Drosophila melanogaster: one gene and its partner. The protein of the gene in region 1 purifies or fractionates together with the protein of each later gene. This does not show direct contact. Each region holds a gene or a part of one and is shown on either strand. Other genes may lie near its edges.

Evidence for each region. Proteins that work in one complex are often made in the same cells at the same time.
Region 2: the proteins of kirre (region 1) and siz purify together in Drosophila melanogaster (affinity purification with western blotting, with the first as the bait; one study listed by BioGRID). This does not show direct contact.

Annotation. Positions count from the first base shown.
Region 1 is NC_004354.4:2,737,245-2,746,282, reverse strand, and holds the start of kirre (kin of irre), read right to left. Parts: upstream 5,479-9,038; 5' UTR 5,279-5,478; intron 5,127-5,278; 5' UTR 5,039-5,126; intron 4,861-5,038; coding exon of another isoform or gene 4,787-4,860; intron 4,695-4,786; coding exon of another isoform or gene 4,452-4,694; intron 4,386-4,451; coding exon of another isoform or gene 4,292-4,385; intron 3,723-4,291; coding exon of another isoform or gene 3,486-3,722; intron 3,367-3,485; exon of another isoform or gene 3,325-3,366; intron 2,833-3,324; coding exon of another isoform or gene 2,800-2,832; exon of another isoform or gene 2,207-2,799; intron 1-2,206. Other genes in the region: Syx4 (syntaxin 4), read left to right, coding at 2,800-2,832, 3,486-3,722, 4,292-4,385, 4,452-4,694, 4,787-4,860, 6,738-6,986, 7,051-7,122; crm (cramped), read left to right, coding at 7,821-8,361, 8,610-8,813, 8,870-9,038.
Region 2 is NT_037436.4:21,032,714-21,037,534, reverse strand, and holds the start of siz (schizo), read right to left. Parts: upstream 3,001-4,821; 5' UTR 2,617-3,000; coding exon 2,234-2,616; intron 1-2,233. Other genes in the region: CG10581 (uncharacterized protein), read left to right, coding at 3,343-3,388, 3,452-3,975; Polr3E (RNA polymerase III subunit E), read right to left, coding at 4,063-4,419, 4,484-4,821.

The sequences.
Region 1 (9,038 bases):
AGCGCACACACTTGCCGACCCCACCGCCCCAGTTGATTTTCCCAAAGCTATCGCTTTTCCACCGCACCGCCAGCGCTTTCCATCAGTTTCCATTTCTCGTTTTGTGCGTGAGCCTCTGACCCAAATAAAAACAAACAAAAATAACAACAGAAGTGGTAACTAAGGTGGGGACAACGCACAAAAAGACTCATCAAAAACTCATAAATTTGCAATTTTCGACACATGACAAAATAAATTGTAAACAAAGGAAAGCGCGAAAGCCGAGAAAACTAACAAAAAACGGGCACAATAAACTTGACTGCCTATAACAATATCTCCGCTTTTCCGACCCCTTTGTTTATGGAAAAGCAATGGAAAAAGGTGAAAAGCGGGTGTTAAACGCAGGGAATATGAATATGTTGCTGTTTTGCCAACAATTTGCACTAAAAAAATAAGTGAATAGATAATAATAACCTGGAATACATTTTAGACTTACAGTCCGCAATGCAAATAAAGGCGGGAAAAACAAGAATTTCATCTTTTTGTATTCTCATTACCTAAACTCAATGAATCCCATGGATTGATAAAAATAAACTGCTTTGTATAGCCACTCCACCTAAATTGAGTTTTGCTTTGTTATGCAGTTTTTTTTTTTAACTTTACAGCACAAAAGTGACAATATCTTCATTGAGTCAGAGTTCTATACGATCGTTTGTAAATAAAAGCGGATTCACGACTTTCGAGCAATTGAATGCCTCTTAATAACGAGTTGGCAAGAAATCGTCGACTAATAAAATGATATTGGAACTCACAAAACCTTCCGAATGTATCTGATAAGCGATTGGCGGTTCGAATTCCACGACGGGGTCACAAAAAAAACATGACTTATATGACTCATTTTAAAAGCCAAACAAAAAAAAAATAAAGCAAAAATAAAGTAACAAGTTCAAGCTCAGAAACATCAGTTTATCTCAATCTCAATTAATTGGTATTTTGCAATAAAAAGTAAATGTTCATGTTTAAAGGGTGTATTAAAGGGTATTCGCGAATTCACATATTCCACATTGAATTTCCAAATCGATTTAAATGTTTTAACCTTATGGCGCTACATGCAGTTCAATTCAAAGTATCAGTATATCACGTATACGTATGCTTTTTATACAATCATTAGAGAGGGAAGAATTCGCGACACGATTCTTTTCTGCCGTCTTTTTAAATGGCATGGCAACTTGAGAAGAATTGCGAACCAAATGAGAAATGGAAATTCGCAACTGTCTGGTGTTGATGGTTTTATTTTTCTTGTTATTGTTGTTGACGTAGTTGAGGGCAGTTCATAAGCTTCGTTTTGCAACCGCAAGAATTGCTAATATAAAGCGGGTAGACCATCTAGCTACCCAGTAAGCAAAATAGCAATAAATTTATTATGGGAAACTTTCGAAGAAACAAGCAACTGAACTGTGCTTAAGAAGTATAATTTACACAAGCGTTTTGAAGGGATCAAGTTGTAAAAAGTGGTGAGTACAACGCTTGACAATGAATTTACACCCTTGACCTACATAGATGCGACCCGCTGATACCCTGTAAATGCATATGGTGGCACAGTACAAAGCCAGCAATAGAAAAAAGTTCAACTAATTAGCGCAAGTGACTTTTGAACGTTCTCGTCGCAGGTTTATTTCTCTTACTCGGTCTTTTATTTCAATTGAACGGCAACATGGAGCGTGAAAAGTGCGACAACAACAGCAAAAGGCGGCAGAGCAATGTAGAAATGTTTACCATACAACAGAGTAGAAATAATAATAAAAACAATTAACACATTTTTCTCCGCCGCCTAACCAGTTTTCATTTCGGTGGCAAAGACGATTTATTCATTTTATTCGGAGACAACAAAAAATGTAGATCGCCACTAACTACACATAATGTAGTACGAGTCTCTATCTTTATCTCTCTCCAGCTAAAGCACATGAACGTACATATCAAATACACCGAAGTTCATGAAATCGAATACCTTCGTATATTCAAATCACAATTCTATTGCTGCATTTAATGTACATTTTTGAATTTTTCATAACTAATTTGAATTTGGATTAGGCCCAATGAATTTATACCATAAAATGCCTATTATTTTGGCCCAGGCTGTAGCCAGAGTGTTTGCTGTCTTTAATCTTTTTGAATTGAAAGAAATCTCGACGCGACTGGGAGGCTCTGCGTTTTTGTGCCGGCGTCGATTTTTTAGTTCGAAAACGTATGCGGCGCGGTGAAGACAAAGGAATTGATTTTCAATAAATCGAATAAAATGTAGCCGAATGTATTTACATGTTAAATTTTAAAAATACATAAAGCTAGTTTTTCCCATAATCCAATTTTTTTCTTTTTTGTGTTTGTGTGTGTGTGCAACAAAAGAGCGAGTAAGAGAGCAAAGAGCCGCCAATAAATGGCAAATATGTGATAGGTGATAATCTGTGTTTAGGCCTTTCTGACTGTCCCTCTCTCTCTCTCTCTCTCTCTCCATGACTTTCCACCCCGCCCTGTCGCTTTCCGAAGGGCAGACGGTAAATATTAGGCGGCTCTTATCAGAAACTTGTGCGCTGATAAGCTTTGATAGCAGGTTTCGCTCTCTCCTGCGCTCTCAATCAAATTTTCCCATTCGCGAACAGCTGTTGGAGGCAACGGCAACAACAAACCAGGAACAAAGCTCAGAAGCTGCTGTAAAGGATATAAAGTGGACATTTTGGAGTACTGGAAAGGAATTCAAGGAATTGGCATAAATTTGGCATATAATTGGCATAATTCAAACCAAAGGCAGTCCAAGTTGCAGAAATGGGTAAAGATCGACTGCCCGAGCTTTTGCAGGTAAGAAAATATTAGAAACGTGGGTGGTTGGTTGGGAGGTTGGGATGAGGTAACTGCTAATTAGTTTGAAGCACAGTGGTTTGGCATCACTCAAACCGCAATACGAATAAAATCTACTTAACACGATGAAATACATTTGGTGGTATTTGCCAGGAAAAGGATTCCACTTTTCTCGGTAAAAAGTAATCCTAATCAAAGTTTTTTTTTTTTTTGCGGCACGTTGAAACACATTCTGACCAAGGTGCTGCCACCTTCTTTACAATTGGCCCAATCTCTCACATTTCTGTTGGCGCTTTTGGCACTATTTCGACTTGTGAGCCAAGGGGGTTTGGTGGGTGTTCGCTATGGCATTTATCAGATCGGCCAGAGATAACGACGATAATGTGGCCACACATCACACTTACGGGGCAACCCCGCGTTTCCGCCGACAAACTTTTAGCACCAAGTGAATTTCAGTACCGAAGTCATTTTTATAGTTCATTTACACCGCGCCAGATTGTGAACACACAAACGTAAATAAACTCAACCAAAGTTGTTAGTTTCAATTTAGTTTTTTCTCAGTTTTTCCCTGCAGTTCGTTAGGATCGCATGGACCTATTTTATTTTTATTTATTTATTTTTTTTTCTTCTCATTTTTGCTGTACTAATTCCAGCGCTCATTGAGCACGAACTCGTCGAACTCGTCGTCGAACGGTTCACTGCTTTTGAACGTGTACAGTGGAACCACGGAGTTCATCATTGGCAACACCGGCGGTAACAATAATAGCTACAGTGTCGTTAGCCAAAACTCTCACAGCTGCAGCAACAATAACAGCAGCACCGAACCCAAGGATCGGTCCAGTTCAAAGATGACGCAGTATGGCTCGAATGTGGATGACATACTCAATCCGGTGAGTTTAAGGATCGAAGTGTATACAAAACACAACTTCAGAATTCATACAAGTTTTTACTATTATTGAGTATTGAAATAGTTAATAGAAGAAACTTTAACTCCTAAGATAGCTATCTTGAAAGTTATAAATACTTAGCGAAGCAAGAACATACAACAGAAAGCAGCTAATATCTAGCATAGTTAAACGTTTCCCCTCAATGGAAATAAAAGATCAGAGAGCCGGAGAGAGGGAAACCCTTTTTTTCTTTTTTATGGCTTACCCACACATGTGTGCACTTATGAATCAGCTGTATTACTCAATCGCTGCCGGCGTAGCGCGAAAACTCGTGATAAGTCCAGAAAAAAAAAAAAACATTTTCTCATTAAATACGTTTTTTATTGTGGTTAAGAGAGCGGACGAAGAGAAGGCAAGTAGTCGCCATGTAAACGTAAACAACGGTAGACAACTCTTGCAAAGCAAAAAAGCAATACAAGCACTGCTTCCTCCTGAGCAAGGAAATGTACTGGAAATGCAATGGAAGTGAATATACGATTTTAATAGATTTTTACGGTATCCTTCCTTTTCAGTACACGGAGATTCGCCAACAACTCGCACAGATAGCCGCCAACTTGGAGACGATGAACCGCATGGCCCAAACTGTCAATCTGCGAACTTTCAACGGTAAGAATTTGAATCTAAAGTTGTGAATACTTCCACTGCATCACGGTCTAAATCCAATTCGCACAGAGAACGAGATGGATGAGCTTCACAACAAAAACCTGAGGCTGGGCAATCAGCTAATGACGCGATTCAACGACTTCAAGGCGAATCTGCCGGCGGAAAACGATTACAGCTTGGAGGCAAGGATGAAAAGAACCCTTTTCTATGGACTCCACCAGACTTTCATCAATCTGTGGCACAAAAACGAACTATTCCTGCAGAACTACGAGACCAAGGTCAAAAAGAATCTGAGACTGCATACAAAAATCAGTAAGTGTGATACAAAATGGACGAGTCTGATTAAATGCTTTGCAACTATTACATTATTTTGTTTAAGAACTTCGTTACAATCTACTTTTTAGTTAATTCTGAAGCCAGCGAACAAGAAATCGAGTTACTCATCGAGAACAAGACAACCAAACTCTTTGTGGATAATGTGAGTAAAGAAAGAATTATACAAACAACTAAGTCTTCTGTCTGATATGATTCCTTATCAAAGGTTTCATAAACATATATATTTTAATATGTTCGGCATTTAGTATGTAGTTTAAATGACATTTTATACAATCTAGGACTATTAGCTACTAAATATTACTCAGTAGAGCGCAACTCACCTCGATGTTGTATTCATTTTTCATTTCATTTGACTTTATCGCATCTATAATTTGCGAGACGATCATTTTCATATCACTTTAAGTAAAGCTTTACACAGAAAAAAAAAAAATTTGGGATTTTAATAGCTAATAGGATATAATCACTTTCGCAACTTTTTCAACACTGGAACACCATAAAAAAAATGAAAAAAAAAACACTGAAGCTCATTTGGTGTAACACCCACACACCTTCATACATACATACATATGTATGAAATTATTTTGCTCAAACGCAAAATTACCGCGAATTTAGGAAAAAAAATGCTTCGTATCACAATGCCTATACTCGCATTTACTCGAGTAACAGCACTAAACAACGGTAAATTCAATAAACTTAATTTCGCGGTGCGCAGTTAAAAAACACGTGCGTATGTCGATGCTCACGAAGAAGAAGGAAAGAGGAAGTTTAAACAGGGAATGATCAAGGGCCAACGGTAAATCAAACTCATACATACTCTCTCTGTTTCCCGCTGTTGTATTAACATCATCTATTAGTTAATGAGGCTGTTAAATAAGGCATTATGTTCTGCAATACAGATTATCACATACGTTGATTAATTATATTGGTTGAGTGGTTAGGCTATACATTTTTATATTGAATAGAATATATTTTCAAACTCAGTGGTTCACCATCAAAAAATATAAAAAAAGAAGTGGAAGCTAATTTACCGCAACACACACATTACATTACATACATGTGTAAATAGATGTTAGCACACACATTCTATACATACAAACATATTTCGCGCGCCATTGAAAACGCAAAATTACAGCGAATTTAGGAAGAAAAACGCGCAAATGCTTCGCATCACAATGCGCATACTCGCATTTACTCAAGTAACACTTTTCACCATCTAAAGATCGTTGAATTCAATAAACTTTATTTCGCGGCGCGCAGTTAAAAAACACGTGCGTATGTCGATGCTCGGGAAGAAGAAGGAATGAGGAAGATTTAAACAGGGAATGATCAAGGGCCAACGGTAAATCAAACTCATATGCACTCTCTCTGTTTGCCGCTGTTGTTTTAACATCATCTATTAGTTAATGAGGATGTTAAATAAAGCATTATGTTCTGCAATACAGATTATCACGTACATAGATTAATTACATTAGCCGTATAGCTAAGCTATACATATTTATATATATAATAGAAACTCAGTGGTTCACCATAAAAAAAAAGTGGAAGCTTATTTAGCGCAACACACACATTGTGTATGTTCATACATACATATGTAAATGCGGATTTTAGCGCGCACATTCTATACACACAAACATATTTCGCGCGCCATTGAAAACGCCAAATTACCGCGAACTTAGAAAGAAAAAGCGCGCAAATGCTTCGTATCACAATGCCGATACTTACATTTACATCTAAACCATGTTAAATACAACAAACCTCATTTCGCGACGCACAATTAAAAATCACGTGCGTATTTGGATGTGGCTGAGAAAAAGGGAAGAGGAAGACTTGAAGAGAAAACGATCAAGGACCAACGGTAAATCAATAAAATAAGATCTTCACCCGCCCTTTCTAACATTCTCTGTTAATTAACCTTCAATTTAACACAAAATGTAAAGATCAAAAGGTATTTGTATTGCAAATAGTAAATAAATGTAGACATTTGCTTAATCTTTATAATAACAATTTTTGTATTTTTAGTTTCTGCAGGAAACGGAAAAGGAGCGGCAGACACTGCGCGAAATGATGGATCGATTCAACGAGCTGCGCCGCCTGGAGAAGTCCATCGAGGAGGTGCACGCCCTGTTCATGCGCATCCAGACCCTGGTAATGGAGCAGAGCGAGGTGATCCAGCGGGTGGAGTTTCACGCCCAGCAGGCCACGCTCCACGTGGACAAGGGCGCCGACGAGCTGGACCAGGCGGAGCAGCACCAGAAGAAGGCGCGCAAGGTGGGCACACTGCGAATCCCCGAGAGCGTTGGGTTCTAAAAGGCATTTTCCCTTGTATTTGCAGAAAAAGATAATGCTCATCGTGATACTCGCAGCCGTGTTGCTAGTATTACTCCTTGTTGGTATTTATTTGTGATGCACGCGAGAAACTTTATTTTTTTGGCCTATTTTTAAAATTTATACGTAAGAAAATAAACTTTAAAACCTCAAGAAGAATTTTTGCAATTAATCAACAGGTAAAGGAAATCAATAAAAGCTTATGCTATTGAGAGCGTGCTCTATTCTGAGTCCCTTTAAATCATTAGTTTGTTTGTTTCGTGTGGATTTTGTATATTTTTATTAAATTTAATATGTAAATAAGATAACGGTTAGTTCAAAGGGTACGCATTTAGCTGGAAAGCAGCCAGGAAACGAAAGCTGCGGCTAGAACTAGCCATTGGCGGCTGTAAAACAACCGAGCGGGCATCGCTGCGGGTAAACAAAACAACTTAACAGCAACCACTTCGCGCCTAACAGCACACACTGCACTGTTGATACCACACTGTTGGCCAACATCAACATCCCTGGCGTCTCGTTAATAAGTTTTTTATATAGTCGTTTGGCACCGATTTTCCATGTCTGATTTGTAGGTGAGTGCACGTCGGAGCTTGGGAAAGCCTTCGAGATCATTTCTGGTCGGTAGTGGATTAGCCCGGGCGCGCGGTTCAGCGACAATACCAAGCAATCGGACGGTTCGGCGCCATTTTCCCACTTTTCCCGGAAGACTACGCAGTTTAATTGATATTGCCATTGATTGATCCTGTCTAGGAGGCAAGCGGATGTGGATTGGCCAACATGGAGGAACTGTCCAAGCAGCCGCCGCCACCCCCGCTGACGCAGCCGCCGCCGCCGTCGTCATCCGTGTCCATTGAGGAGCCGCTGCCAAATGGCAAGGGAGGAGGAGCAGTAGTTGTTAACTCGATAGCTAAGCTGCCCGAGGAGGAGCTCCTCGGCTCGGTGACCATGCACAATTGTCCGGGAACGCGGGCCAGTGCCCGGGTCATACAGAAGATGAAGCAGGACCAGACGCGCCCGATGACACCGCCGCCCAGCGAACGGGAGCCGAACAAAAAGGAGGAGAAGGCCGCCCAAAAGACGCCCAGCCAGCTGAAGACGGGCAGCGGGAAGACCACCTGGACGAATGTGGAGCGCAACTGCTTCTTCGACGCCCTCAACGAATTCGGCAAGGACTTCGAGGCGGTGGCCAACTGCATCAATGCCAAGCTGAAGCGCCGCAATGCCAACAGCGACTATAGTTTCAAAACCAAGGACCAAGTTCGCCAGCACTATTACCAGACCCATCACAAGATTTGCAAATATGTGCGCTTCTCGGAGGGTAAGAAGAAGGGTCAAACTGGATATGACATGTCCCGAAATGTTAAATTAACAAGCTATTGGCAAAATAATGCGTTAATAAGGTCACAGTTAGCTTGTTTCGGTTTCCCGGAAAAATAGATTTTCGGCGCCAAAAACCTCGTGCCTCGGTTAATTCCTAGAATTCAACTAGCGTTGCCATTTTGCCATTGGCCTTCATTTCATTTCGCAATTGCTGGACAATTTTGTAACTTTAATCAATCGTTTTAGAACTGAAAAAGCCCGCCCAGGAGTTGTACACGCTGATCAACTACGGCGAGATGCGGCGCAAGCTGCAGTTCCTCACGGAGAAGCACTTCATGAAGCTGAAGCAGCTGGTCTACCAGGGCCAAATAACCGTGCGTTGCAAGGGCAAGAACATTCGCATTAAGACGCCATCGTGCAAGGCGCTCCGGCGGCTAAATCAATTGGATGGTGAGTCCGCTTCCATTCGATATGTTTGCCCAATAATACCCAATGACAAACCGTAGACTCACTGGAGGATATCCGGCTGCCCAGCAAGGTGGAGGTGCTGGTGACTCCCGCCAATATGGAGGCCTTCGGACGCGTCCAGTCACTGGCGCAGAATCCACGCGGCAGGATCATAGTTCCGCTGCACAAGAAACTAATCAGCTTCATCAAGACGTTCGAGTACAAATG
Region 2 (4,821 bases), on another chromosome or scaffold:
TTTTTGTTTATTTTTTAATGATGGTAATAAATAAAATGCTTTAATTGTGAGTCACGTAAGTTCTCCCAGTGTACAGAGAGAAACAACAACATTCATGGAGCAGCGGAACCGTACTCATAAGACAGAAAGCTACCCGCACAATTTCAACAACATCTCTGATCTTGAGTTTAATGTCTCATCGTGACATACTCTTTTCCATAATGAAAGATATGCCAACTAGGTGCGTGCAGCTTATCTTGTACAACTCTAATCTGAAAGTGGATCTAAGCCGTGGTAAGCATTTTTACATTACATTTAGATTCGCTAATTAAAACGTAAAAAATGGTGGTACAAATGAGGAAATGTACCTTATATGCAGGGAACGTTTGATAAGCAAATCCTGCATTTTTCCCAATTTCATTTATGCTCTATCAACTAAATTATCATTATTCAAAATAATCTGATCTGAAAGATTAATTTATATATAAGATATCTGAAGTGATTATTCATATAAAAACGTGACAATAAATAACAATTCTAAAAGAGTATCTATACATTCGACGAATGCGAGTTTAAAAGTTTCTGGTGTTTTGTGTTTCAAAGTTTTGGCGAAGGTGAGCTGCAAAAACCGAGACATAAAAAATAAACAGAAAACGCTAAGCGAATAATTGGAAGAGCCCACGATTCTACTACTAGCAGACCTTAGAGGCCAAGAAGCCCCGAAAATAAAGAAAACGGTTAAAAGATAACTGCGCTTTATTTGCGCCCACTTTGTATATGTATACATCATATATACGAAAATATCTGTATTTAAAAGATTGTCTGCGGTGGGGCATGACCGCATGCAAAGCAAAGTCAGGTACGAATATTAAGATACTCCCAACTTTATTCGACTGTCAATGGCAAAATGCCAGGCGAATGGTTTATAATATTTCTTTTCTTGTTTGCCCATGCATTTGTGAGGTTAATCTCCCCTGGAAAGACCCCAAATAAGTGATCGAAACTCGGTCTTAACATTGAATTTCCCTGAGACGGCTCTTATCGCCCGAAGTAGCACTACACATTAGTTATCAGCAGAACTAAACAAATAGAGAATTCTGGTCGATCGATAAGCGGAGAGCAACTGTAGTTCTATCACAGCACAACTGACTCATTCAATTTGGCAACGAAATAAATACAACATTATCTATTGTTCTGTTACAGATAAGCATGAGTTTTTTATGTACGGAAATACCTATCGCCACGGTGCACTTCATTTTGCGACCACGACTGTGTCGATTAGCCCACAGGTAGACCGGCGTGCAAAAAGGGGTTGCAAAAACCAGAAGTCGCACTCCGACTTGTCAGCCTGCAGCTGCCAAGGTGGCAAGGACAAGGGGACGAATGAATGTGACTCAACGAGAAGTTGACTCAACCCGGGGGCAAGGAAACATTGGAGTTGGGGGTCACGGAAATGCAGCCGAAAATGGCGATCCAAAAAAAAAATCAATGATTTTTGTGGTTTTGTTTGAGTGCTGAAGAAGAAATGGTACTTTGGCTTCAAGTTTTTGTTTTAAGATCACACAACCACAAAATATAAAGTAAGGATCTTCACTGAATGAATTATGTATTCCAGCTCTTTTTCTTATCAGCTAAAATGTTAATTTCTAATCAGAAAAGGGAAATAAAAAACTGGCCTATGTGCAGATTAAATTATGGTATAAATAAAACTACAATATATACAGATATATCAAAGGCCTTGACCTGAAACTTAAAAGCGAAATGCCGCTCTGATAAGAAGCATTAAAGAAGAGCTTTAAAAGTAGGTAGTATAGCAGAAAAGATTTTAAATATATATTGTTTCAAAATATAATCAATTTAAAGATGAATACTATCTCCTGACTGATTATAATTACTTAATGGAATATTTTGGCTCTTAATGAGATCACAAAATAAACAACCGCATTTTACAGAGTATTTAGTGAGAAATTGTTCTTTGTAATATGTAAAATGCTCGTTGACACATCTAGAACAATATCGACAAAATTCTTTTTAAATATGTTGAAATCAAATTGCTGAACATTGCAAATTTTTTCTGGCCCCCAAATGCCATGAAAATTATTTTGCAACCGCAATTTTAAAGTGCATCTCTTCCTATTGGAAGTTTCCATTTAAGCGGGATGTCCAATAGGAAAATATGATATGCCATTAATTCACCCTTATTTAACAGATATTTGAATATATTACTAGATAGTAAACATTGGTGGGCACTCACTTATCATCGAGATCGACGGGCAGTCGCTTGAGCTCCGACATGTCCAGCTCCAGTCGCAGATTGGACACTTCACAGAGCAGGCGATCGCGTTCCAGACTCAACTCCTTGATCTTGGCGTGCAGGGCATTGTTCTCCCGGAGCAGCTCGTCCACATTGTAGGGCATCGCATGCACATGGTGATGGGGCATGTTGATGGAGAGGGGCAGGGGCAGGGAAACGGGTCCAGGTGGGGCGACACCCCCAGCGGAACCGCCCGGCCCTCCTTGGTTTCCCACAAACATTATGGAGCTGGCCATCAGCAGGGACTGCGTGGTCTGATGCAGCAGCAATTCCTGGTCGCCATCCGAGTTCTGGGATAGATTCTTCAGATCGGCCTCGGACATGTTTTGTTTATAACCTTAGCGGGGATCGGCTGCACTCCTAATCGATGTGCTTTTGTGGCCAAAACATTATAGCCCCGCCACGCACACGCACTCGCGCGAATGAGGGAAGGTGGTGGAGAGGGTGATAAAACAGCGAAACAGGCAGAACCACTTTGAATCTCACAATAAGAACTGAAAATGCAGCTTGCTGCGAGTTGAAACTTCACTCGTATTGTAATTGAATGACCTTCGTATATTATACTTCAGAGCCAGCACTTCGAATCGCGAGCAACAGTTGGTGCGGATCGGAGGGGGATTACGAATATTCTCGGAATTACGGATTTTCAATTCACGCGCGACGAAAAACACGACGCACTCGTCGTTCGACGTTTGGAAACAGTGTGGACGTGCTGGGGGGCACCGCAGTGTGACCATAGAGCATGCAACTCAAAATACGCTATCGTATTCAAAAAATATACCGCATCAAATGTGGCATTTTAAGACGACCGTTTTATTTTAAAATATATTGTTGTTTTCATCTTATTTAAGAAGGGCATAAACAATCTTAAGTTTATGCTCATTATTATACATAAGCATTTTCTTTCTTTGATAAATTTAAAACTCATTAAATCTAAATATGTGTGCATTAATTAAGATTTATTTTGGAACTGCCAATGATCCATTCCTGGTTGATCTAGTTCACCACAAAAATATTCTATAAAATTGGTATTGTAATAATAAGCCGACATGAAGAACCAAAAAAATATAACCATTATACTAACTGGGCCACCAGGTGCAAATTTAGCTGGGAAAATATTTGCTATTTGTTTATTATGTATGTAATCATGATTTTCAGGAGTGGGTAAAACTACACTGGTCCACAAAATATGCTCGGCTCTGCAGGATAGAGGACGCATTCTTCAAGGATTCTACACAGAGGAAATGCGAGGTGAGGGCACCAGCCAAAGAATCGGCTTCGACGTGGTCACGTTAGCCGGAAAACGAGCAATCCTATCTCGCAAGAATCCCGGGGACCAGCTGCGACGACCCAAAGTGGGAGAGTATTCGGTGTTTGTGCAGGACTTCGACAGTCTCGCTCTGCCAGTACTTGGCACACAGGATTCCCAACCAGAGCCGGATCTCCTGGTCGTGGATGAAGTGGGCAAAATGGAGCTGCTTAGCAAGCGATTTGAGTCGGCCATGGCTGATCTCCTGAAGAAAAAGCGGGCCCTATTGGTCACCATACCCGAGAAATCAACATTGGCTTTGGTGGAGCAGCTGAGAAAGTCAGCAGGATCCAAGATTTACCAGGTGACCAAATTCAATAGGAACGCCTTGGCTGGAGAGATTACAGAAGAGATTACAAAAGCACTTCTTTAACAAAGTAAAATTGTTGGTCTTTTTAATAGTGCCTAGATGTATAATCGTGCTGCCGATTCTCCGCCGCTGGGAGATCATCATCCGATGCTACGCATCCACGGAGCCAGTTGTTGAGTGATTCATTGCGGGCGGCGGCATGGCTGAAGTCAGTGACTGGGATTCGCTCTTCCTCGTCGAACGTTTCCGAACACGTTTGGTTTCCCTAGCCCAGTCCATTTCATTGTAGTGCTGCTCGGAAGCGGTCCAGTGGTACTCCTGTCGGCTGACCAGTTCCGGGTACTTTTGCTCGAACTCCTTGTCGGGTGGCAGTAGCAGCTCCCACCGTTTTGTGTTATTCACCCGGGCCACAGTCTTCAAAACGTCAAGTGTTTCCGCAGGAGGTAACTGGGTGGCGGCCATTACCTGAGCTCGGAACAGGTAGGGCGTGCGGGAGAAACGAAAGAGCTGCGGATGGATTTGAGGAGATTAGTACAAGATAAGTGATCGCTACACCCATACTATAACTCACTATATAATCTCTGGCGCGAATCATCTGCTCTGCGGACACACCGTTCGCATGGGAAAGCACCTTCTCGGGAAAGACCACCTCGGATTTCGGCACCCAGTTGCCGTGCAGTAGGATGCCCACCTGGGGCAGCAAAGCCAGCACCTTGTCGGCAGCCACATGCGGATCCACGTGCTCCGCGAGAATACTAATGACGTCGCTGAACGAGAGCATCCGCGCATCTCTCAGTAGCACTGTAAGCTGTTCCAGCAGCGGCATAGACTTAAGCATGGCCTTGTTGTAGACGGGAAGTACTTGGGCGGCAGCAGAAGCAGCTGCTGGGGCTACCGTCTGCACATGCT